Arabidopsis thaliana: one gene and its partners. The main gene of each other region encodes a partner of the protein of the gene in region 2 in a complex. Each region holds a gene or a part of one and is shown on either strand. Other genes may lie near its edges.

The links.
Region 1: TAF15 (region 2) and TAFII15 share a complex: the UniProt entries of both Arabidopsis thaliana proteins name them as parts of the TFIID complex.
Region 3: TAF15 (region 2) and TAF11b share a complex: the UniProt entries of both Arabidopsis thaliana proteins name them as parts of the TFIID complex.

What each region holds. Positions count from the first base shown.
Region 1 is NC_003075.7:15,350,981-15,359,241, forward strand, and holds TAFII15 (TBP-associated factor II 15), read right to left. Parts: upstream 5,452-8,261; 5' UTR 5,211-5,451; intron 5,191-5,210; exon of another isoform or gene 4,824-5,190; intron 4,761-4,823; exon of another isoform or gene 4,744-4,760; 5' UTR 4,725-4,743; coding exon 4,632-4,724; intron 4,536-4,631; coding exon 4,471-4,535; intron 4,070-4,470; coding exon 4,007-4,069; intron 3,822-4,006; coding exon 3,770-3,821; intron 3,676-3,769; coding exon 3,625-3,675; intron 3,324-3,624; coding exon 3,243-3,323; 3' UTR 3,067-3,242; coding exon of another isoform or gene 2,991-3,066; 3' UTR 2,940-2,990; coding exon of another isoform or gene 2,859-2,939; 3' UTR 2,816-2,858; downstream 1-2,815. Other genes in the region: GLR2.4 (glutamate receptor 2.4), read left to right, coding at 1-537, 692-982, 1,066-1,472, 1,551-1,982; AT4G31715 (uncharacterized protein), read left to right, coding at 2,679-2,722, 2,859-2,939, 2,991-3,066. UniProt on the Arabidopsis thaliana protein: TAFs are components of the transcription factor IID (TFIID) complex that is essential for mediating regulation of RNA polymerase transcription.
Region 2 is NC_003070.9:18,626,515-18,635,715, forward strand, and holds TAF15 (TBP-associated factor 15), read right to left. Parts: upstream 5,526-9,201; 5' UTR 5,365-5,525; intron 5,187-5,364; 5' UTR 5,149-5,186; coding exon 5,044-5,148; exon of another isoform or gene 5,028-5,043; intron 4,934-5,027; coding exon 4,605-4,933; intron 4,489-4,604; coding exon 4,291-4,488; intron 3,696-4,290; coding exon 3,612-3,695; intron 3,236-3,611; coding exon 3,154-3,235; intron 3,041-3,153; coding exon 2,917-3,040; intron 2,501-2,916; coding exon 2,304-2,500; 3' UTR 2,041-2,303; downstream 1-2,040. Other genes in the region: AT1G50290 (uncharacterized protein), read right to left, coding at 1,344-1,748. UniProt on the Arabidopsis thaliana protein: TAFs are components of the transcription factor IID (TFIID) complex that is essential for mediating regulation of RNA polymerase transcription.
Region 3 is NC_003070.9:6,934,083-6,940,627, reverse strand, and holds TAF11b (TBP-associated factor 11B), read left to right. Parts: upstream 1-2,961; coding exon 2,962-3,053; intron 3,054-3,207; coding exon 3,208-3,730; downstream 3,731-6,545. Other genes in the region: TUB5 (tubulin beta-5 chain), read left to right, coding at 147-543, 1,564-1,833, 1,913-2,595; AT1G19990 (nucleolin), read right to left, coding at 3,963-4,266, 4,654-4,724, 4,815-4,910, 5,017-5,301; AT1G19980 (cytomatrix protein-like protein), read right to left, coding at 5,985-6,113, 6,257-6,545. UniProt on the Arabidopsis thaliana protein: TAFs are components of the transcription factor IID (TFIID) complex that is essential for mediating regulation of RNA polymerase transcription.

The sequences.
Region 1 (8,261 bases), on a different chromosome or scaffold from region 2:
GCAAAATGGATGGAAGAAACATATCTGACCTGGAAGCACTTAGTGTCTCAGAATATGGTCCAAAGCTTATCCGCTCGCTTTCCCAGATTCAGTTCAAAGGACTTTCTGGTGATTACCATTTCGTTGATGGACAACTGCATGCATCCGTGTTTGAGATTGTCAATGTGATAGACGGTGGAGGAATATTGGTAGGATTCTGGACGCAAGATAAAGGACTGGTAAAAGATTTGAGTCCAAGTTCAGGAACTACACGTACTTTCTCTAGTTGGAAGAATCATCTTAACCCGATCTTATGGCCTGGGATTACCTTAACTGTTCCAAAGGGGTGGGAGATCCCAACAAACGGGAAAGAGCTGCAAATTGGTGTTCCTGTTGGTACTTTCCCTCAGTTTGTAAAGGTTACAACGGATCCTCTAACCCATGAAACCATAGTAACAGGGTTTTGCATCGACTTCTTTGAGGCTGTAATTCAAGCAATGCCGTATGATGTCTCCCACAGATTCATTCCTTTTGGAGATGATGATGGAAAAACTAACGGTAACTTCAACGACTTATCGTACTAAGTCTATCTCGGGGTGAGCCTGTGACTGTTCCTCAATTTTTTTCATTTTCTTCTTATCATAACTCAACCATTGCTCTGAAACAACACCTTCCTTGTCTATGAGGCAGGTATTTGATGCTGTGGTGGGAGATACGACGATATTGGCAAATAGATCATCCTATGTTGATTTCACTTTGCCATACACAACATCGGGCGTGGGGATGGTTGTCCCTCTAAAAGATAACGTGGCAAGAAGCAGTTTGATCTTTTTTAAACCTTTGACACCGGGGCTTTGGGGGATGACCCTTGGTTCTTTTTTTGTTGTTGGTTTTGTTGTGTGGATTCTTGAACATAGGGTGAACTCTGAATTCACTGGACCTCCCCAGTACCAGATCAGCACTATGTTCTGGTTTGCCTTCTCCATCATGGTTTTTGCACCCAGTATGTTCGCTTTCCCTCTAGTACTCTCTGTAGGCAACGAGTCTGTTTCCATAAGTTTACTCTCAAAAGTTATGTTTTTACAGGAGAAAGAGTAATGAGCTTTACAGCAAGGGTTGTGGTTATCACTTGGTACTTCATTGTTCTTGTGCTGACTCAGAGTTATACTGCCAGTTTGTCATCGCTTCTCACAACACAACAGCTCAATCCAACTGAAACGAGCATCAAGAACGTGCTTGCAAAAGGAGGACCTGTGGCATATCAGAGAGATTCATTCGTACTGGGGAAACTGAGAGAATCGGGCTTCCCTGAGTCCAGACTCGTGCCATTTACCTCTCCAGAGAAATGTGAAGAACTTCTGAACAAGGGACCATCAAAGGGTGGTGTTTCTGCAGCCTTCATGGAAGTACCATACGTGAGAGTTTTTCTTGGACAATATTGCAAGAAATATAAAATGGTGGAGGTGCCATTTGATGTTGACGGGTTTGGCTTTGTAAGTTCCATCACTTCTCTTTGGCTTGCATACAATCCTTCCTTTTAATGATGCATATAACTAGTTTCGATTCTGTAGGTCTTCCCAATTGGATCGCCTCTAGTAGCCGATGTATCAAGGGCCATTTTGAAAGTGGCAGAGTCTAACAAAGCAACTCAACTTGAAACTGCGTGGTTCAAGAACATAGACAAAACTTGTCCTGATCCAATGAACAACCCTGACCCAAACCCAACAGTCTCCTTCCGAAAGCTCAGCCTCGATAGTTTCTTGCTTCTATTTGTTGCTGCAGCCACTGTCTGTACCCTTGCCTTGTTGAAGTTTGTGATCTGTTTCTTGATTCAGAATCGGATTATTTTGAATGACGAATTCTACCGTGGCAAACGAATGAAGGAGATGTGGTTAAAGTTCATGGAAAGTGATGGTGAATCATACATTAGCCGTGTGAGATCAACATGTCCTCAGGTGTTAATACAACCCAGGGAAGAGGACATTGATCCCATTAACGGCTAAAAATCTTTGAACTTTTTTCTTTATCTTCTTCATGTAGCCAAAGTTACCTTTGTATCATCACAGCTCACTGATTCTAGTGCAATCCTTTAAACACACACTTACTAACTCCTAACCTTTTCCAAGTTACAACGAGACTTGACCATATGTGCATCTTTTCCCGGCGAGCCAAAACCGACTTTGAAGATTGTCGTCAATAGTATCAAATTAATGGAACTCAGAAGTCTTAAAATCCACCAACTTTGCATGCTTCTTCAACCATTTTGTATTAGTATAGAAACTCTTTCTCCTGTAAAACCAAGATATTTTAGCTAAGTCATGCGAGAAGAAATTGGACAGAGACTTTACATATTACAGACAAAAAGTCGGCATATAGAATCATTCCAGACAACGTTTATGGTCCTGTATACATATAAGGAGAATGTGCTCAGAAACCACAAGTACCTATGTCATATAAAAAACTTGAAACTTACCTTAACTTTTCAGCCTCAAAACATTTAAAACAAAACCGACTCTGAAAGAAAGACAGAAACAGAGAGAGACAGAGAGAGTGTGTACGAGGTGACACTCGAAACCGGGAAGTAGTGGCTGGAAGAAATGCGGATTGGTCGGAGACTGAAGTGGAGGATTCACCATTTCAAACAATTCAGGAGGAAAAAAACTCAAGAATCTTCAACTTTCTTTGTGATGAAAAAACCAATGTGTTCTTGTCTTCAATGTAGCGTTGTAAAAGCTGACGAAAGGTTACTAGATTTTTCAGATTGTTGTCTTCTTTCATGTATTTCTAGGTAAAGAATATTCGGACATGAGAAAGTGAAAAAACAAAACAGAACAGCTTTTTTCAATTGCTAAATTCCAAAAAGTAACTTTATTATTGAGATGCCGCGGTTACAAAGGGGGATTGTCTAAAGGTATACAACAGAGTGTGGCAATGTTTCAAGTTAGATCAGAAGCACTTAGGTTCATCATTGCTAGATGGAAAATATACTTTGTGGTTTTTCAATCCTACAGTATCCAGTTAATCACAAGGATGGATACTTATCTTATTTTCACGACTTGGAGACTTGCAAGAATGGTGGATAAGTGATGTAGAACCCCAAAAATCACCAGAGAACAAACAACAAACGAATATACATGTAATGTAGTAATTGAGGACTAGCAAGACAAGTGAGTTTTGTTTTTAACTGAAACACAACAGAGAATCAGGGATCTGAGACACATGACCGTCCTTACTAGGCAAAGATTTTGAGGAATTCCTGGTTTCTATTCGTCCCTTGTTGCAGGGTCCATTCCAGTCGAAGGGCTATCAGCAAAATATTCTGGATGCTTCACGTTCACACCATACTGCCAAACCGAGTTTACTCACGAGTTAGCTTCCCACTACTAGTTAAGACGAGACTGTAAAACCTTACCTATCTACCTACACTACTGCAATACACAATATTATAACCACTAACTCTAAAACATGTTTCTAAGCATTTTATGTTGATTCTGTGATACTGAATTAGTTTCATGCCATGTGTATTTAGAGTAATTTGCAGCTTAAGTAAAAAAAAACAAGAGACATCTACATTTTCTTCTCATACATTGGAGGTCTGAGGGACAACAATACCAGAAGCATGAACTTAGAGGAAGAAGCATTTACCTCACGCAAAGCTTTTGAAAGATCTTCCATTGTCAATACCAAACGCTTATCCTGTTAAGGAAACATTAATATTCATGTCATCATCCAAAACATATTTGTTGCAGTCTTGCAGAGGGAAAAAAAACAAAAGGGAGTCAGATGTTACCTTTTGCTGTTTTTTGTCTTTCACAACTGGTGCTGGTCTAGCCTTGCAATGCCTGTATATAATTGACAATTTTTATTATTCAGGAGCTTATATCAATGCTTTTAGCTTCTGGGAAAATCTAGCGTAGACATCTTTTCATCTCATCTACTCAGAATGGGCAGTGTCTTCTCTTTCTCAATTACAAGTCAAATATGAAAAAGGGTATGATAATTCGTTGTGAAGAGAATGAAAACTTACTGAAGGGCGTCACTGGCAACATCTGCAACAAACTTTTGTGTAGCCACAGCAACTAGCCTTATCCTGTCAAACAAGTAAACAAAAAAACAGAATATTGGCAAGAATAGATACAGGAAAAGATTATGACAGGAGTGAAAAACTCAAAAACTAAAATATACCAATATTCAGCACTCAATTTGATAGAAAGAGAAGAATCCCCTCATTATTCTACGCATTCAAACTGAACTCTGAAGTTTACATTCAAATTGCCAATCTTTTTCAGTGCTAGTCCAACATAGACTTCTTTATCATACCATTTTACAGGAATGTTAAACAGGGCAAAACCTTAATCCAAAATGATTTAAACCAAGCCATTGATCTAACTACTGGTCACCCATTCTAAGACCCAACAATGATTCCATTCAATATCAACTTATCTGCTCTTTCATTGTAAGTATCAGATATAACTTGTCGGAAATACCTACAATCGTACGTCGGGGCACTGAAATCCACTCTTAGCCAAGTAGTGCTCCACTAAATCATCAGGAATCTGAAAGAAAAATAAAAATCCAGAACTCAATCAATACCCAAATTTCAGTCATGTAGAGCCGAGAAAAAGTTGTAACTAGTACAAAGGAAAGTATACAGTAGGAGTATAATCCATCAGAGAAGCAAGGAACTCTGTAAGAGCAGCATCATCTTCATGCTTTGCCTCACCAGATTGTTGGCCGTGATTCATCTCTCCCACCACCAGAGTACTGAAGCGAAGCAACAACTGTAAGTAAAGAAAGGTTTTCAAAATCAAACATTAATAAAGAACCTCTGAACTAGTATCTACCTCAAATTAGAAACTTGTACGAAACCTAAGAAAGAATGTCATGACTCATGACACAATTATACCAAAATAAGTTTTACGAGAATTTTGACTACTGAAACTTTCCAGCTCAATTTACTAATTCTCTGTTCCAGATTTGTCTTCTCGTATGACATTATTGTTTCTAAGTAACGAACTATTCCTGATTTGTGTTGCAAAAGACCACACCAAGTTTTGAATTGAACGACGTGAAGTAAACTAAGAGGGCTCTGATTCATCAAGAAACAGCATTCATGAGCAAAATTCGATACCACCCAAGAGAAAATTCAACCGAAAAAAAGACAAAATTGAGCTGAAATTGAAACCAGAGACATAGAGGAAAAATTCAATAAAGTAAGCGATAATGCGAACCTAAACGAAGCAGCAACGGAAGAGAATTGAGCTGAGACGAGGCAAATCAATGGTAAAGAAGAGAAGTTTCGACGGATTTCGGGCGGGTAGAAGAAAGGATCGGAGATCGACTAGTGAGTCTCCGTTGAAACCCTAATCCTCCGACTGGTCCAACTCAGAGCCATCTCCGCCGGTCAGATTTTTAAGAGTTGAGAAAGAATCGTTAGATAGACTAATGGGCCTATTGATTTAAACTATGGCCCAAACTTAAGGAAGTATTCTTCACATATGGCCCAAATTTAGGTTTTTTTTTTTCCTTTTTCACAATCCATTTTTTATTCTCTTCCCATAAAATCAATATTTGAGTTTAGTGTATCTAAGAATATCGAAACGAAATTGTCAATCAATAAAATCTCAAAAATGTAACTTTAGTGTATAGTGTTGTACAATCTGCTGTATAGTGAGCTTTAATTTGATGGGAGACAAAGAATATGACAATGAAAGCACTAACTCCATCTAGACGGAATATTTAATGACCAACAAAAGCAGTTTTTGTTTTTCTCATTTGTCAACTCATAGTCATTAGAAAAAGACTTAAGGGTAGTTTTATATATTCTACGAGAAGCAGGTGGTAAATTCAGTGAAGAAGGATTGGACTAATTCTCTCCATAAAAACATAAAAGAGAGATATGTATATGATGATACTTTATTTCACGGGATTCCATTTGTTTGTTTGTTTTTGGTTAATGGTGGATTCCATTTGTAGGTAAATTAATGGATAAATACCAGATAAATAAATCCATATTTTCTCAAATATGCTTCTTAGACGCTACGTATTATGTATTTACATTTAAATCATTTTCCAAAAGCTTTTTTTTTTTTGTATAAAACCAAAATAAGAGACAGTTTATTCAAGAAGCTAGTTTACCTAGTTATATCAAAGGGGCCAATCAGAATCTAATGTAAACTATATCCAAGTCTCATTGTCATGGAAAAAGGTTTGATTTAATTTGACGATTTTTAAAAAACGGTTGTTCAATCGCGGCATAGGAATATTTTTGGCTATAGGCTAGGACAAGCTATATGGATTGATTTGAACTTTCTCTTTAATTCTTTTCATCAAATTATGGAATATTATATTAAAACCTAGATATTTTAAAGAAAAAGAAAAATTGTATGCAAAAATTTAATTTACTTTTGGAATACGGATTCTAAATTTTTTTGTTGTTTAAAATAGTAAAGAAAAATAAAATATATCAATGAAATCAGGAAGAGGCAAAACATGGTGGCCAATCAAATCGGTTTACTTCAGGCGATCGACGAGCATTTCTAACGAAGCAATGTTCATGTGATCTCAATGGAATATCGACTGTTGTCAATGTGATCGTAACCATACTTTTAAGTTCTGCACTGTATTCTAATTTCTACACAACTATGTTATCTCAATTTTTAACTACTTCCTTCATTATTTACCTCCAGCAAGTGAAAATTAAAAGACCGATAGACAAACAAAAATACATAATCTAGTAAAACAAGTACTAAAAATCTAACATGGTAGAAGAGAAATTGTGTATGTAGGTTCTTTGCAAATAAATCGTGTGTATACTGTATAGACTGATAGACTATTCCTTGTTTGGGGAAAAATGGCTATACACTTATAATATTTTAGAAGTGTCACAAAATAGAAAACTATTTTAAAAAGTAACTTTCTTGGATCGAAAAAATAATAATATGATATATGGTAGGGAAATTTTTACTAATTTTATTAAATTTAATAGGAAGTATCATAAGCACCCATATAGATATGCATAAGTTTGAAACAGAAAATTTGTAGGTACGGTTAGTCGGCTATAAGAGTGGCTTCAATTTGCTTGATGGATTTTTTGTTTTGATAAAATGGTTTGTAGATGGACTTTATTAATTTCAAACATACATTACACTAGTTAAGATAACACCACTTAATCAAGTAATATTTGTATAATTGTAGTTAACTGAAAGTCGTGACTCATGTGTTGTTGTAGGGTTGATTACTACTTTGGCTTTAGATTTCCTCTTTTTTAATCGTACTTTAGAAAATTTGTGGTGCATAATTAAGAAAATTTGTAGTGCATAGTTCCTTATCTAGAAGAAGAGAAGTTTGTACGTCACCAAACACCCCCCAAAAACTCAAGTTGCGAATATGTTCGTTTGCTTAATTAAATATATGTTTTCTCCCATCCAATTTAATATCATATTTTTGTCGCTAATCTTCAATTAACTAGATTACTTATGATAAAGTTGGAATATAAACAGCAATACATGTAATAATTATTTATGTGGATGTAATCTACACGAGCTTTCGTTGGTGATTGGTCGCCTCTTGCCAACAATTTCTGTTATAGTTGAAATGTATTTAACCATTAAAAAACATGAATGAAAGTTACTAGTAAGAAAGAACTGGCCGTTCAAGTACAAAAGTGGAATCCGATTATCCACCGAAATTGCAATTAAATATTGGAGATTTGTTTTAGGAAAAAGATTGGCATGCTATATTTATAATTAAAATTTTGATATGCGTAGAATAAAGTTTGTGGAGTATTTCATATCCAAGTGGCCTTGCCTCATACGAAACTTGCCCTTTAGTAAAGCAAACAACGAGCGTAATGGATATTGCTTAAATAATACCAAAGTTACATGTTTCAAAAAATCGTATTAGTTTTCTAAATGCCCTTTAATTAGCCATCACTAAATGTACTTTGAAGTAATGAACTCGTAAGTTTGATATGAGAAATCATAGGTTCATGGTCTGTAACCTCGATCACCACGGTACGGTCTAACATCTATCGATTAATTTCCAACTAACAAGTTCATCTTTCTCTTGCCCACACTTCACTTACACGATTTTCACTAGTACTAAGAATACATATTCAATAGGATATTTGATGTTTAGGTAGCGTCTAACAATTTTTGAACTTAATTTGTTTAAGCCATTCAGATTTTTGAACGTTTCCATTTATATGTATGAGAGGAGTAGGGACGAATAGTACAAAACGACGAGCGGTGATTGTCCGTGCAGAAAGAAAACGTACCCTC
Region 2 (9,201 bases):
CAAAGTTTATGTTGAGCTAGTATAATAAAACCACATAAATTCCAAAGTCTCTCAAATTCCCATAAATTGATTTCTTTTGTTTGTCTTGTTATGTTGTTTTTAAAAGAATGCTGTAGAATTTTGATTCCTATATCTTTGAGAAGGATTGACTTTTAAGAAATTATGATAATTATTTTTCACTGTCAAGTATTCGGTTCATATTGTACATGAGCTTTTCAAACTCAAACATGAATATCAAAACTTCAAAGTGTTTGAAAGGTCACTAAAAAAATTAATACAGCATTACTAAACACAACATACAGTAAAACCTCTATAAATTAATAATGTTGGGACTACAAAATTTTATTAATTTAGAGAGGTTTTAATTTATCGATAAATTAATATTTATTAATTTATAGAGAGATTTTCCTAATTTAGTAACTTTTCAAAAAAAATTATAGGATTTTTTTCATTATAGAAAATATCTTTCAAGAATCAATTACAACTAAACAATAATATCATGTTTAGAAAACAACACCAAAAGTTTTTGATACAGTAAAATACGAGAACTAAATTTTAAATAAAAATAAATACAAATTTAAGCAAAAAAATATTAGAATTATATTTCAGAAAAATTCCTACATATAATGTATATATATAATTGATATATTTATACAATTATTAATTTATGATATTGATGGGACCATATATTTACATAGAACTTTCAAAAAAGTTATTATCTTATTAATTTATCGATTTGTGTCACTTTTTACACTGGTACAAATTCGGGATTGGAAAAATTTATTAATTTATAAAGGTTATTAATTTATCGACTATTAATTTATAGAAGTTTAACTGTATGTTATAAATATCATCATATACTGTACTTTGGTCACTCTTTCTATTAACTTCTTCTTTTTTTTTAAAAGAATTTGGAATTATGTCGTAGTGCATGTGAATAAGTGGGGTCTAGACGAAAAAGATTTTCCTGTTTTAAGTGCGAGTCCATGACGAGCTTTTTTCATCGTATTTCCCATATCCGACCATGTTTTTTTTTTTTTTTTTCACTGGAAAGATTATGTTTATTAATGATCCACAGAATACAGCCCAACAAAGGTCCACTTAGTTACATTTCTTTAAAGGAAGGATATCTCTTTAACAAAACACGATCGTATAACAAGACACGTGTTGCAAGAGAAGCGATGAAACGTTCCTGTCATCCTGTGCCGTCAAAGACTCCGATCCGGTGAACACAATCAACGTCGAAAAAGGGCAAACATCGATTTTTGTTTTTTTCTCACCGGAAACTGCTAAACAGAGAAGGGAGGATACACAAACAGAGAATTCAATTCCAAAATCATCAATCAAGAGATTTGGCAAAAACAGGTAATGAGGAAAGAAAAATCTGAGTATTCCTCAAATTTGATCGATCGAAGCTCCATAAACATGTAGAAACGGCTACAGGCAATCCCAATATGCTGGAAACAAAACTTCCTTTCATACTTGAGGTAATTCTGCAAATCAAACTTTCTAAAGATACAAATCCGAAAACTTAATCTTAGGCTATTATGACCTAAAATTAATCTCCAATTGAAATCTTTAGAAATTATTGAAAGAAAAACTGAAAAAGAAACTAAAGCAATCGGTAAGAACAACCGATCGAACGGCGGAGGAAGGATAAAAGCCGGCCAAAACCGCTTGTAAAAGCCGGATTTGCCAGAAGAGGACCGGCCATCTTTGCTAACAAAGCCAAAATTAATCTCCTTCATATCTTTTAGAGAGAGGAACTGTTGAATTCTGTCGACCGGATTATTCTGGTAAACTGCCGTCCCAAGTTTTGCCGACCATGTTTATGACAATGATATGACATTAATATATATCCCCACAAATAAGCTTAATTTTTTCTTATCCTATTATAGTTTCAGAAACTATATTGTCCACAAAAATCTTCTTGTTCTATTTTTTTTATTCCCATTAAAATCATACAGCGATGAAATGATTGGCGATGGAAAAAAAAACAAAGGGACAACTAAAAATAATACTACAAAAGACAAAATAATACTTAATACACGTCTAAATTAGCAATTGACGTCGCTAACCATGTTTTGCCATAATTACCAATTTTCGAAACGATAAACATGGAGTATTCTCAGAACATAATCAGACCAAAACAAGTGAAAAACAATAGCCATTGATTCAAACCAAAATGAGTTTCACTTCACACAATAAGTAAACAAAAGGCGAAGACATTGTAATGATACCGTTGTAAAAGTAAGTCGACAAAACAGATGAGAAACTAAACCCTAACACTTATGAGTAATCTCTCAGTTACGGTACCTGCTTCCACGTTCGCGACCGTAGTCTCTGTCTCTGTCCCGATCATGGTCATAGTCATAGTCACGCTCCTTGCCTCTTTCCCTCTCTCGGCTTCTGCTTCTGCGTCTATCCTTATCGTAGTGATGATCTCTACCACGGTCTCTTTGCCTGTCTCTGCTTCTCTCTCTTCCATCTTTATCAATACCTGCCACATTCATATAAATTATGAACAACTACATTGGATCATGACCTTTCTATTTTTGGGGAAGCAGCAATAAACATTCTTTTCTATCTTCCTCTATATCTATTCAGTGAAAAGAAGAAAACTCTAACAAGGAACAACACTGTTTATTGGAGATCCCCACTAGGCTTGGGCTATAGGCAAGTTAGCTGCAAGCTTAATGTAAAATTTCAAACAAATCCCTCCCCGCATATATGTTAAGTTTCACTCAAGTGTCTAGATGACAAGCAGAAACTTTCTTTGAAGACTATACACAGAGAGTAGATATAGATCGAGCCAAATAAATCTCTATTATAGTGGAAAGGTTCTGTTCATAAGCTCAACCTATTTGATGATTGCATAGATTTAGTTCATATTAGTTAAAATTAAACAGAACTTACCTAGTTCCTCGACTTCCCACCCAGCACGACCAGCAGCAACAGCAGGTCTGGTGTCAGCTTGGTTTGTTTTAACACGGTACTTCTTCTTTAGATTCCCAAACTCATCATACATTTCACCATCATCCTGAAATATATTAGACGTATAAGTCAAATGGAATATACAAAAAACTGAGAGCTCATCCGAATTGCAACAAAAAAACAAAAAACAAAGAACTCTTCAGGAAAAGCATATCTTACTTCTTCAGCCTCACGCCTGCGTCTCTTCGTTTCCTCTAATTCTTGTTCATCTAATTCCTTGTAACCACCACCACGGCCTCCCCTATTTAGAGAAAAAAAAATGAATAAGCACTGGTCTAGATAAAAACAACCTTCCAAACTCAAACCTTAATGTTTCTTAATGCAACTCTAATTTGGCCAAAATAAAACATTACAAGTGGGATAAATCAATTGTCGAAGAAAACAAGCACTCGTTCAAATTGCAGAAGAGAGTATTGAGACTTTTTCCCAGGTATCTATTAGGCCCTGTCTAAAAGCAGAATAAATATACCCTGCTGACAACAAAACTACAAACATCGAACAGAAAATCTACGACCTCTCCTACATTCACTGTAAAATCATTTATAATCCAAATCCTCAGCTCGAACATTGCAAGATAACAATACAAAGGCAATCTTATCACTGGCTTTGAGTCATACCTCACACCACCTTCATTCTGACCAGGTTTATTGGTGTTGCAGATATTACATTTTAGACGTTTCGCCCAGTTGACATTGCCACACCTGAAAGAATTAGCGCAAAAAGAAAAAGTGCATTATGCATAAGAACTCACATTCACACAGTGCAGCCTCTTAGTTAAGCTACTCGATGACACATAGCATAACTTGCAATTAAACTAAAACATAGTCCATTTTTTGTATCAGACACAGAAAATTGAAGGCAGCCTATCTTCACAAATATAACTTCTTAGAAGGATCAAGACTACAACCTACCCACGTTTCAAATTACATTTTTCAGATTAACAGCCATCTGAAGGAAAATTACGAAATTAGAATCAACATTCAAAAAAGAAGGAAAAAATATGTGCCTCCACACATAATTTGGACCAGTTTAAGAGACACAGCACAGCAGAGCGGGCCATCACTTCTTTCTAAGTAAAGAGTCAACTGACATCATCAAAAGCATTGATATACAAGCTATATTCCTTCCATACATAAGACAAATTAATTTTATATCCAGCAACGCTATATGCCATCTGAATGTTCTCTTTTGCTACTGAATATAAATTGTTTCTTGCGATGTGTTTTAATCAAGTACCAAACGCTCATTATCCTCTGAAACTGAACTAACTATTTCAAACCTAATCGGAATGCTTACATTGGACAAGCCCAATCATTTGGACCAAAGAGACCAGTAGGAGCACCACTGGGCTGCTTCCCCGGGGCCCCACCATCAGCGCCTCCACCTCGACCCCTTCCACGACCAGCACCCATGCTGCCACCAGATGCACCAGCTGGTCTAGCAGTTCCACAGCGGTTACAAACCCCACGGAATGCAAAATTCACATTTGTACAACTGCCAATGAAAGAGTATGAGAACACTACTGCTAGAAACTATAAAATATATAAAAACTAGCAAATTAACGGAAACAAGAGCTAGATGAAGCTCCTCACCGATATCACATCACAGACCTTGTATTAGGGCACATCCAGTCACCATCTTGCTGCCATGGCTTTGCCGAAGAATCAGCCTGACCCCTCCCCCTTCCAGCACCTCCATTTGTTTCCTCAGCACCTCCATCGAATTCAACAAACTCAACTGCATCACCAGCATTTTTATTCTTCGACTCGGCCATAAAAACTCCAATGGTGTTTCCATGAAAATCTTTGTTATTGAACCATTCAACAGCAGCCAAAGCAGCATGCGGATCCTCATAGGTAACAGTAGCATCTCCCTTGGGCTCATCAGTTTCTTTATCCCGGTACAGCCATACCTTAGGAGTACCAGTTCGTTTGTCTCTCTAAAAGCAATGTAGAAAAAAATGTAAGAAACTCGAAAATCTAGTGACCTATAAAAGATTGCAATGACGTCAAAACAAAAGCAACAATTAGTACCTGGCCAATACCATACCTTAAGCAACCCAATGGTCCCAAAATAGTCAGCCAACATATTCTCGTCAGTTCCTAAGGGGAGATTTGAAACGTAGACTGATCCATTAGTAGGATATCCAGCCATCGTAATCCAATTTCATCAAAAAGAAAGCCGCCAAGAATCTGTAAATGACAATACCAAAACTTCACTTAGCCAACATTGAAACCTCGCTAAGAAATAACATCGAGACATTGAAACCCCAAAGTTTTGAGCTCAAAAACCATGAGAACAAAAAGAAGATTCGAAATCTGACCAACGAGATAGGGAAACATAGAAGAGCGAGATAGATAGAAATCTGACCAGCGATGAGGATTCAGCGGCGAAGGAGAGGTCGTCGGACTAGGGTTTCTTTCTAAAGTGCGTCGAGTGAGAGAGAGAGAGAGAGATCTTGCGAATAAAGATTTTCTTAAGGGTAACCTCGATAGTCGATTGTTTGTTTGGTGGTTATATTTGCAATTTCATATAACTTTCCCCCTTAAATTGTAATTTTGTTTTTTTATTTTTTTCGTGGTTAAGGAATTCTTTTTTTGGGTGCAAATTGAGGAATTATTAATTTACAAATTAGATGAGTACCCGCACTACGTGCGGGTTTACGTATTACTATTTACTAATTGTTTTATATAATGTCTGTTTATATAAAGTAAAGTTGAATGCATAGGTTTTGAAACATAAATATGTTTTGTAATTGTTTTTGAAAAGTCCAACTATATTAGTTCATCTGAAAAACGAATGTGCTTGAGTTGTTTTTTATTGTTGTTTTAGATTCTTAGTTTTTTTTTGAATTTATATATCCTTGCTTTTTTAGTTATATGTATAGATTGTGAGACAGTGAAATTTTAGAAAAATTATTTCTTACACTAAAAATATAACATGTCTTTATTAATCATGTCTTTGCATATTCAATCTAAGCATATTCAACTCGATATTCTTAGAAAGTTTAGTTAAGTTCTTGTCATAATCTTATATCTTACGTATTAGTTATAAGGATAGCTCCTCAAATATCTTTCAAATTACCTGTTTTCTTAGCATAAATATCGAAAAGCTTAGATATATTTAATCTGCATATTCATTTAGTTTCTTTCATAATAATCGTCTAATTTTTAGGCCAGGAATATGTGTAACATGTTTGGATTTTATCATCACTTTAGCCACTTAAGTGGATCTCAAAATTAAAGAGGATATATTGAATTAAAAATGTAGAAAGAGTGATGGTTCAAGTTCTCATTAATTATATTCTCCTATTTTAGTTGTTATGTTGAATTAATTACTAATTATGTATTACTTATTTTATGAAGTCTAGGTGGCAAGCTCTCATGTGCTTATGTGTCAAGTTGTGGGAGAGAGTTAGTCTTCTTTCATATATATGATTTGTGTTTCAATGTTGAATCTATTTATAGCCAATAATATCTAATACTACTAATATTATACTACCAAAGTATTGGTCAATAAAAAAAAATACATTTGCATCTAACATATATTGACTAAATTAATAATTAAAAAAGTATTGACTCATACTACAGTAAAATATTTATATAATGCTATCTATTTTGTAAAGTTACTAGCATAAGCTTGTCATTTTTTAAAATCTGTCACTACTAATTTTACTATGACTAGGTAATCACCCGCGCTACGCTGCGGTATTTTTAAATTTTTTGTATCGTTTAATTTAAATATAATTTTTAATTATCTAATCATTTACTTATATAATAAGTAATTATTCTTAATATTAAAATATATTTTTTCTAACAACATTCTCAACAATGCATTATACACACAATTCCTAAACAATGTTCGTCTTAAACTAATTAAATAGAAGGTAATATTGGGATTCTCGAAACCTAAGAATTTGATGATTAAACTTCTTACATACTCTTCACCCTCGGCGATTTATTATATAGATATATAACAATATGCAAACTATTCAAACTATTAATTAATCCATGACTACTATACACTCATAATTTGAGTTAAGATTACAGAAAAAAATCTTTTGAGTATGAGAAAATCAATCAAATTATTTTATTGAAAAACATTTAATAACAAAATAAATTTAGTATTAGTACAATTAAATATGTAAAATTAAATAATAAATACATCATTAATCTATAAATTAAAAGTTGAAGAGCTTACATTAATTATTCAGTGGATACATGGCAAATGTTAAAGTGATGATGTGTCAATCATATGGAGAGAGTTGGCTAACTTTCATATATATAATTAGTAGATTAAAAACTCACTAAAGAATAGAACAAGTTTTCTTGTAATGAGTTTTCAGAGAAAAATCTTATTGCTGTAATTGACAAACCAGTGCAAATGGTTGACGTAATTGAAGAAATTAAAAGAGTTGAATAAACATTCAATCAATTTTTTACTATTTAAGTTGAAATAGTTGAAAAAATGATTCAATTGCACTCCTAACCCATTTAAATAAAACCCAAAAAAAACTTTATATTAGTAAATCTCATTAAAATAAAATTCTTACTACGTTTTGGTAATATATTCACATCTTATCATAAATAAAAAATGTTATATAAGATGACACTAATAAAAACAAATTTGGTATCAGATCATTATGTGTATTGGGAGTTATCAAAGGATCTCTTCACCCAAACGAAAAGTTTGGCGCCTCCGAGATTTAACAGATCAAAAATATTAAACTGCCATCCAAGTTTTAGATTTTGTGGCTAAAGTTGAGGATGAAGCAACTATCCATTTAAAAAAAAAAAAAAAGCAACTATCCATTCCACTACCGAGCGTACTTCCCAAAAAGAAGTAGATATATGGCAAGGTTCTCAAGGATGAACCTAAAAGGATGGATGAGTAGTTGGACATACACAATATGTTTTTTTTTTTGTGGATTAACCATGACATAGTTAACTATGATACATTTAAACATGAACTAATTAAGGAAAATTCCGTGCAAGGTTTAGTTGCCCCATAACTAAAAGCCCTCCAAACTCTTATAAAGAGCATGTCCAACGTTGGTGAAAAAATAAATTCTAAGATTCAAAGGTGAAAACAACAGCTAACTGGCATATATATGTATGACTGTTTGTCTTGGAAATAAAAGAAATTTTGATTTTAAATGCTATAATCAATTTATAGACAAAATTAGCTAAATGATGAATATGGTCGTTAAAGATTTTGGACCCAAAGTTTGAATGTGCACTGTTTGATCCTCATTCACTCTTGCTTAATAGCCATCAATTCATTTTGTGAATATAAGCAAAAAAGCCACTTGAGCTCTTGAGAAGAAGAAGTCGTGGTTCGGTTAATCAGGAGACAGCCGAGATAAAGAAAGTCTTCATGAGATTTAATGTGATGGTTAATTACGTAATGAAAGGGTGGCTGATAATTGTTCATGGCTGTTGCATCATGTCATGATCACTTGACATGTTTATTCTAAAGATTTCTTGTTCCATCACTTTTCATTTAGACTTATCAAGTACGTACGTAGTGATAAACTTAATTTGTAATATCTTTTCTCATGTTACAAACTCGGACTTCTGTCGTCCATGAGCCTGATATATATTTGATGACCAAGGCTTAGGATGTTGAACTGATCCAATCTTCATTCTCGGAGGTTTTGCTATGTGTTCTTCGTCCAGCTCATTGTTAATTACACCGAGATTGACATAATGACATGATTCAAAAATGGGAACGTTGTTGTTGTTGTTGTTTCTTTTTCAATTTGCATATATATATTACAGAGTTACAAAGATGAGAAATATCTTAAAACCTATTCTATTAGAGAACGTACGGTGTGTTCATAATGACAATGAACATTTTTGTCTACGTAGATATATTTACTTTGTTTTTTTCTTCATTTTCAATTATCTTTGTAACGTTCTCTCTCAAATTAGCTGGAACAACGATCTACAATGACGTGTATCTAATAATCAATCCTAAATATATGAACCAAACTAAACTAGAAATGAAATGTCTCCAAATAGACTATATTATATATACGTACTGAACGAAATCACAATTAGTTCACAGCTAAATGCGACTGTTATTATATTAATACAAGATCCTATTTTAGGGTTAGACTGTCTTTTTCAACATATCTCTTAGAGTCTTTATGTAATAAAAATTACAGAGAAATGAGCGGAAGTTGTCAGTAAAAAAACAAAAGAA
Region 3 (6,545 bases), about 12 Mb from region 2:
AAAAAACAGAGAATAAAAACCTCGCAAGCGAGGGAAGTGATGAATAACAGAGACAATTGGTTATATTAGCTGTCACTCCCATCTTTCATATTCCTTCACCATCTCTCTCTCTCTCGATCTTGTGAACCACTACACACACTAACACAATGAGAGAGATCCTTCACATTCAAGGTGGTCAATGCGGTAACCAGATTGGTTCCAAGTTCTGGGAAGTCATCTGCGACGAGCACGGCATCGATTCCACCGGACGTTACAGTGGAGACACTGCAGATCTCCAGCTTGAACGTATCAATGTCTATTACAATGAAGCTTCAGGTGGAAGATACGTTCCTCGTGCTGTTCTTATGGATCTTGAGCCTGGTACTATGGATAGTATCAGATCCGGACCGTTTGGTCAGATCTTCCGTCCTGATAACTTTGTCTTTGGTCAGTCTGGTGCTGGTAATAATTGGGCTAAAGGTCATTACACTGAAGGTGCTGAACTTATTGATGCTGTTCTTGATGTTGTTCGTAAAGAAGCTGAGAACTGCGATTGCCTTCAAGGTACTATATATATCTTTTTCTGAATTTTCCATTATACGCAAATTTTCTATAGTGTTTGATGTCGTGCATCATAATTCGTATATTTACTGGATTTAGTTTGATTCAATAATCATTTCATTCGTAATTTGTCTGACGTCACCGTATCGATAATCGTTTATCACCATAGATCTCTTCTTGTAATATAGTATGATATCTATCTACATAATTAGTAAAATTAGGTCACGGTTTAGTAAGTGTACTATAGTATGTTTTTTTTATTCTTTTTTTTTTTACTTTGATGATCTTGTTTATCTATTATTGGTGTGCATCAGTGCATGTGGGTTCTTATTCAGTAATACGATCAATCAAATCGTCTTATTTAATGTAATTGCAAGACAGCAACGAAATAATTGAAATGCAAGTGCTGTTTTCTGTGGAGTGGGATGTTAGCACTTATTATTGGTAGGGCCAAGCTGTTTTGTATAGTATTGAGATATTTTTTTGTCAAGTTTTTTTCTTCATATTAAAGCTTCAGAGATAAGATATTATATCATTGTGATGTCGTGATCAAAACATTTTCAAGGCACCGTGATTACGGGATAAAAGATGGAGTGGTCCTACTACATCATATAGATTTCTTGGAATTTTGTAGTAAAAAGTTAATAAAAATCTCTTTTGCCTTTAGAGTTTATAGATAATGCTTGTGGAGCCCAAACAACAATCTCACGTGATTCGTTTTTTTAGTTACTTTTGGTCAGGTCTCACGTGATTCGTTTTATACATTGATTATTTAACTTCAATTATAACTATGAGTCTATGACTACTAGTGTGCATTGTTATTATTGGGGAGAAATATTTTTTAACGCATATTGTAGATTCATTGATTATTGTTTTAAAGCATTGTAGATTCACATAAACATTATAGTTGATTTAGTTAGCAAGGACTAGTAACAAGATGTTTGCTTGACTATATATGAACACTTTTTCGTCTCATCGATGGAACCAATACTATGTGAATCATGGGGCTGCATTATTTTACAGGGTTTCAGGTGTGCCATTCGTTGGGAGGAGGCACAGGTTCAGGAATGGGAACACTATTGATATCGAAGATCCGAGAGGAGTATCCAGACAGAATGATGCTCACTTTCTCTGTTTTCCCATCTCCTAAAGTCTCTGACACAGTCGTTGAGCCTTACAATGCAACTCTCTCTGTCCATCAGCTTGTAGAGAACGCTGATGAATGCATGGTCCTCGACAATGAAGCTCTCTACGATATCTGCTTCCGTACCCTCAAACTCAGCACTCCTAGCTGTAAGTACACCCAATTCTTATCCTCCATTAACCCAAAATGTATTTAAAACTAATTCTGATACATTGCATGATGATGTAGTTGGAGACTTGAACCATTTGATCTCCGCAACAATGAGCGGTGTGACTTGCTCCTTAAGGTTCCCCGGACAACTAAACTCTGACCTCAGGAAACTCGCGGTGAACCTAATCCCATTCCCTCGTCTCCATTTCTTCATGGTGGGTTTTGCGCCCCTCACTTCCCGTGGCTCGCAACAATACATCTCACTCACCGTTCCTGAGCTGACTCAACAAATGTGGGACTCCAAAAACATGATGTGTGCAGCTGATCCACGTCACGGACGTTACCTCACAGCCTCTGCTATTTTCAGAGGACAGATGAGCACAAAAGAAGTCGACGAGCAAATCCTAAACATACAGAACAAGAACTCGTCTTACTTCGTTGAGTGGATCCCAAACAACGTGAAATCCAGCGTTTGTGATATCCCACCAAAGGGGCTCAAAATGGCGGCGACGTTTGTGGGTAACTCGACGTCGATTCAAGAAATGTTCAGGAGAGTGAGTGAGCAGTTCACGGCTATGTTTAGGCGTAAAGCGTTTCTGCATTGGTACACAGGAGAAGGAATGGACGAAATGGAGTTTACGGAAGCTGAGAGCAATATGAATGATTTGGTCGCTGAATACCAACAGTACCAAGATGCTACTGCTGATGAGGAAGGTGAGTATGATGTTGAAGAAGAAGAGGAGGGAGATTATGAGACTTGATCCACCAAATCAAACATTTTACTTAAAAGACAAGGAAACGACTCTTGGAAATCTCTCTATTTAAATTTGATTGAAAAACATTGAAAAAATGGGAAATTTGTTTAAATGTGTTTTTTGTTTGAGTAATTTGTTCAAAGAAAGTTTGAAGTTTCCATTTATTTTGGGTGTCTTGTATTTTCCATTTGAGATAATACGTCCTTGCTTCTCAAGCTACTGTGTAGTATATAAATTTTACACTTCTCTCAATTGTCCCACATCGAGTAAATTAGTATAAAGGAAGCTAAACTTTTGCCTCTATAAATAAAGATACTTCATTTCCCACCGACTTTTACATTTGGGCTTCTTAAAAAATAGGCTTGACAATAAATGGCCTTTAACGCAAGGTCTTGTTGTTTTGCTAGTAGCAACGAGCGGGTTACTTGTAACTGCAATTGTCTGAAAGATCAGCCAGTGCCAAGGTACTTGTAATTACAAGTACAAAAAATTGATTTCTTTGAGTTCATGTTCATGTCGGATTTTTTCTAGTGTGGTCGGATGTGCAACAAAAAAATTGGCTGAATTTTGGAGTTTTAAGATCCAAAGATATGTGATTTTCGTTAAGGTTTTATTAAGAATGAAGCATTCGAAGGATCCGTTTGAAGCAGCAATGGAGGAGCAAGAGGAATCACCTGTTGAAACCGAGCAGACTCTTGAAGGAGATGAGAGAGCTGTGAAGAAATGTAAAACGTCCGTTGTTGCTGAAGCGAAGAACAAAGATGAAGTTGAGTTCACCAAAAACATAACTGGTGCTGATCCTGTGACTAGAGCCAACAAGATGCAGAAGATTTTATCACAATTTACAGAGGAACAAATGAGCAGATATGAATCTTTCAGAAGATCTGGTTTTAAGAAATCAGACATGGAGAAGTTGGTACAGAGAATCACAGGGGGTCCGAAGATGGACGACACTATGAACATCGTTGTGCGTGGTATCGCAAAGATGTTTGTTGGCGACCTTGTGGAAACAGCTCGAGTTGTTATGAGGGAAAGGAAGGAATCAGGACCTATTAGACCTTGCCATATCAGAGAGTCATATCGAAGACTAAAGCTCCAAGGAAAAGTGCCTCAAAGATCAGTTCAACGGCTTTTTCGCTAGTCAGAATGACGAGGTTACAAAGTAGTGACATGGACGAAGAGTAACTATCATGCTCTAAACCAAACGTGATTAAGTCTTTGCTTAATAACTAAAGAAGTACACGATAAGATCAGAAACAATTGGCCATCTCTCTCATTACTCTTAAAGAATTCACCTTTCAAGCATTCTACAAATTGACTCCCTAAGAAACGATTACAAATAACACAATGAGATTTCAGTCTTTTAATTCAACCTACTTGGCTCTAGCCTTTTTAGAGACTCTGCTAGCCAAAAAATCATCATCTGAGTCGTCATCATCAGAGTTCTTCTTCCTCTTCTTCGTGGTTGGTTTCGAATCATTTCCCTTCTTTTTGTTTGACAAAGCTTCAGATGGCGACTTTTGTACTTCCTTCTTCTTCACGGTCACTGATTTGGAGTTGCTTCTTGGAGTAGAAGCAGCAGATTTTACTGGAGAACTTAATTTTCCACCCTTTTGCAGTTTCTTCTCAAGAACTTTCTTTGCTTTTTCGGCTGGAAGCAATCCAGACTCCATCAACCTGTGATCAAAACCACAAAAGGGTTTTCAAATAAACAAAGCAATCTAAAAGCAAATATTACACATAACCATCACAGATCATATAATCAATGCTTTGAGTGACTGGTTTGAAAGGACTCCCCTTTCTTACATACAATGTGAGTCCAATTATGATGTTCAAAATTTATGCGAACTAGCTTAAACCGTGTCGCAAAACACAAGAGACCATCGAAAATCAAACGCAAGTATGCATCAAGTCCCAAAAGAATAATTTAAGGTGTAGGACTCAGTTTGCAGATTGAGTGATCAAACACAAATAATCAGATACATACCAAACACAAAACATTAAGTGTAAGTGTTTTAAAGTTGCAGAACAATGTAAGGCAGAGAAAGGAATAGAAGAGCTTACCAAATCTGAGCCATGTCGCTAGTGGGAATTTGTTTGTAAAGTGACTCGTAGAAAATCCTAAGTGGATCTCTCTGCAGAATTGCAAAATCAACAAAAGAAATTCTTCAGACGAATTCAACAACAAATCTAAAAAGCAGAGAAACAGAGCAGCAAAAAAATACCTCATCAGGCTGCTCTCTCTTCTGACCAGGCAAATCATATACTTTTCTTTCTCTCTTTTTCTTTACTTCTTCTTCTTTCTCTGGTTTCTTATTCTCCTATAAACAAAGAGAGAGACTCATAATCAAAACAATGCCTCATCAAATATTTTACCATCCTCAATATTTATACTCAAACAGAGAGAGAAAGAAATAAAAATCGAACCTTTGAGACACCAACAGAAGAATTCCTCTTAGAAACAGGCTTCTTCTCATCGTCTTTATCAATCTCTTCCTTCTTCTTCACTGGCTTAGCTCGAGACCCAGATACAGATGACTTGATAGGTTTGTTATCATCATCATCGTCATCGTTCTCTTCTTTCTTCAATTTCTTCGAACCAGCATTGTTACCGTTCGTGGGTTTCTTCTTCGCAAAGGAACTCAAGCTCTTATTGTCTTCCTCAGCCTCCTCTTTCATCTTCATAGCTTTCACATCCTCCGAAGGTGGCATCTTCTTCTACCAAATCAAAAAAAGTCGAAACCTTTGATGAAATTTTTGTGAGAGATTTGAGAAGAGAAACCGCTGTGTTCCTCCGTCAATTGTGCCCTAATCCAAAAATAAGAGGAGGCTTGGAGACGGCGTCGTTTAAACCCAAAAGCAAAATCATTCCACTGAACCGGACCGAAATTTAGCGGTTTAAAGAAGAAACCGGTTAAATACGAAACGTTTCTGCAATAAGCCATACTTGTTGTATACAGAATCGAAGTTGGATTTGAATTGGTGCGAAGCAGAAAGCTCACTTTCACACTCAGTGATTCGACATACAACACCAATACCAAGAAGCAAATGATCTTATTCAAAATATCAAATCCATACAAGAGGGAATTCTCAGCTATAAACAAAATAAAACCGGAAAAAAAATCTTCTTCAAAGCCGCTTGAAATCTTTGTTGCATTGGCAGATGTTCCGCCATTGCTGTTTTCTTCTTTGGTTAAGCTTCAAGACACAATAATACAGAGGAAATAAACACAGCTGCTAGATGCAATATGAGCTTCCTAAAGAAACTAATGTAAGAGTTATACTAGATGCTAATGGGTGTGGTCACTGGTCAGTTGCATGATATACATCAGGGGCTTGATCCTAAATACAAATAGGTTACATGCAGATTTCAATAACCTAAATTCTCTAATAATTTATATGGCTCCATTAGATGGAGACTTCAACTTGGGAAGCCTAAAAGTCGAAGTGAAGAGCTTTGGGACTTCTGAAACCGAGACCGGTGTCATGTTCTTCGCTCTTTTCCTCTTTGAGCTTTTGCTTACCTGATCAAAAGATTCAAAAGTTAATCAACATGTTTCTGCTGTAAGATGATCGAAATTAATTAAACAATGTATATAATCCTTCTGTTCTCTCGGCTCCTAAGAATTTAAAAACACACAGACCTCAAGCATATTCAAATCTATACCTTTTCATTTGTTGTTGATGCAGCAGACTTGTCTTTCTTAGTAGATATATGAGATCCCACCGTATTTCCATTGCTACGCTTTTCAAGTTTGGTGCATCGAGTTAAAACCGGTGTGAACCCACGAGACTTCTTTGCAGACTCTAGATCCCTTGTGAGTTTTGAGATTTCCTCATCTTTCTTAGTAGAATTGGTCTCCATTTCAGCCATCTTAGCCTTTAACCTTGAGATAGTCTCATCCTTCTCTTGATTAGATGACTGAAGCTGCTCTTGATAAGATATAAGACTGGAA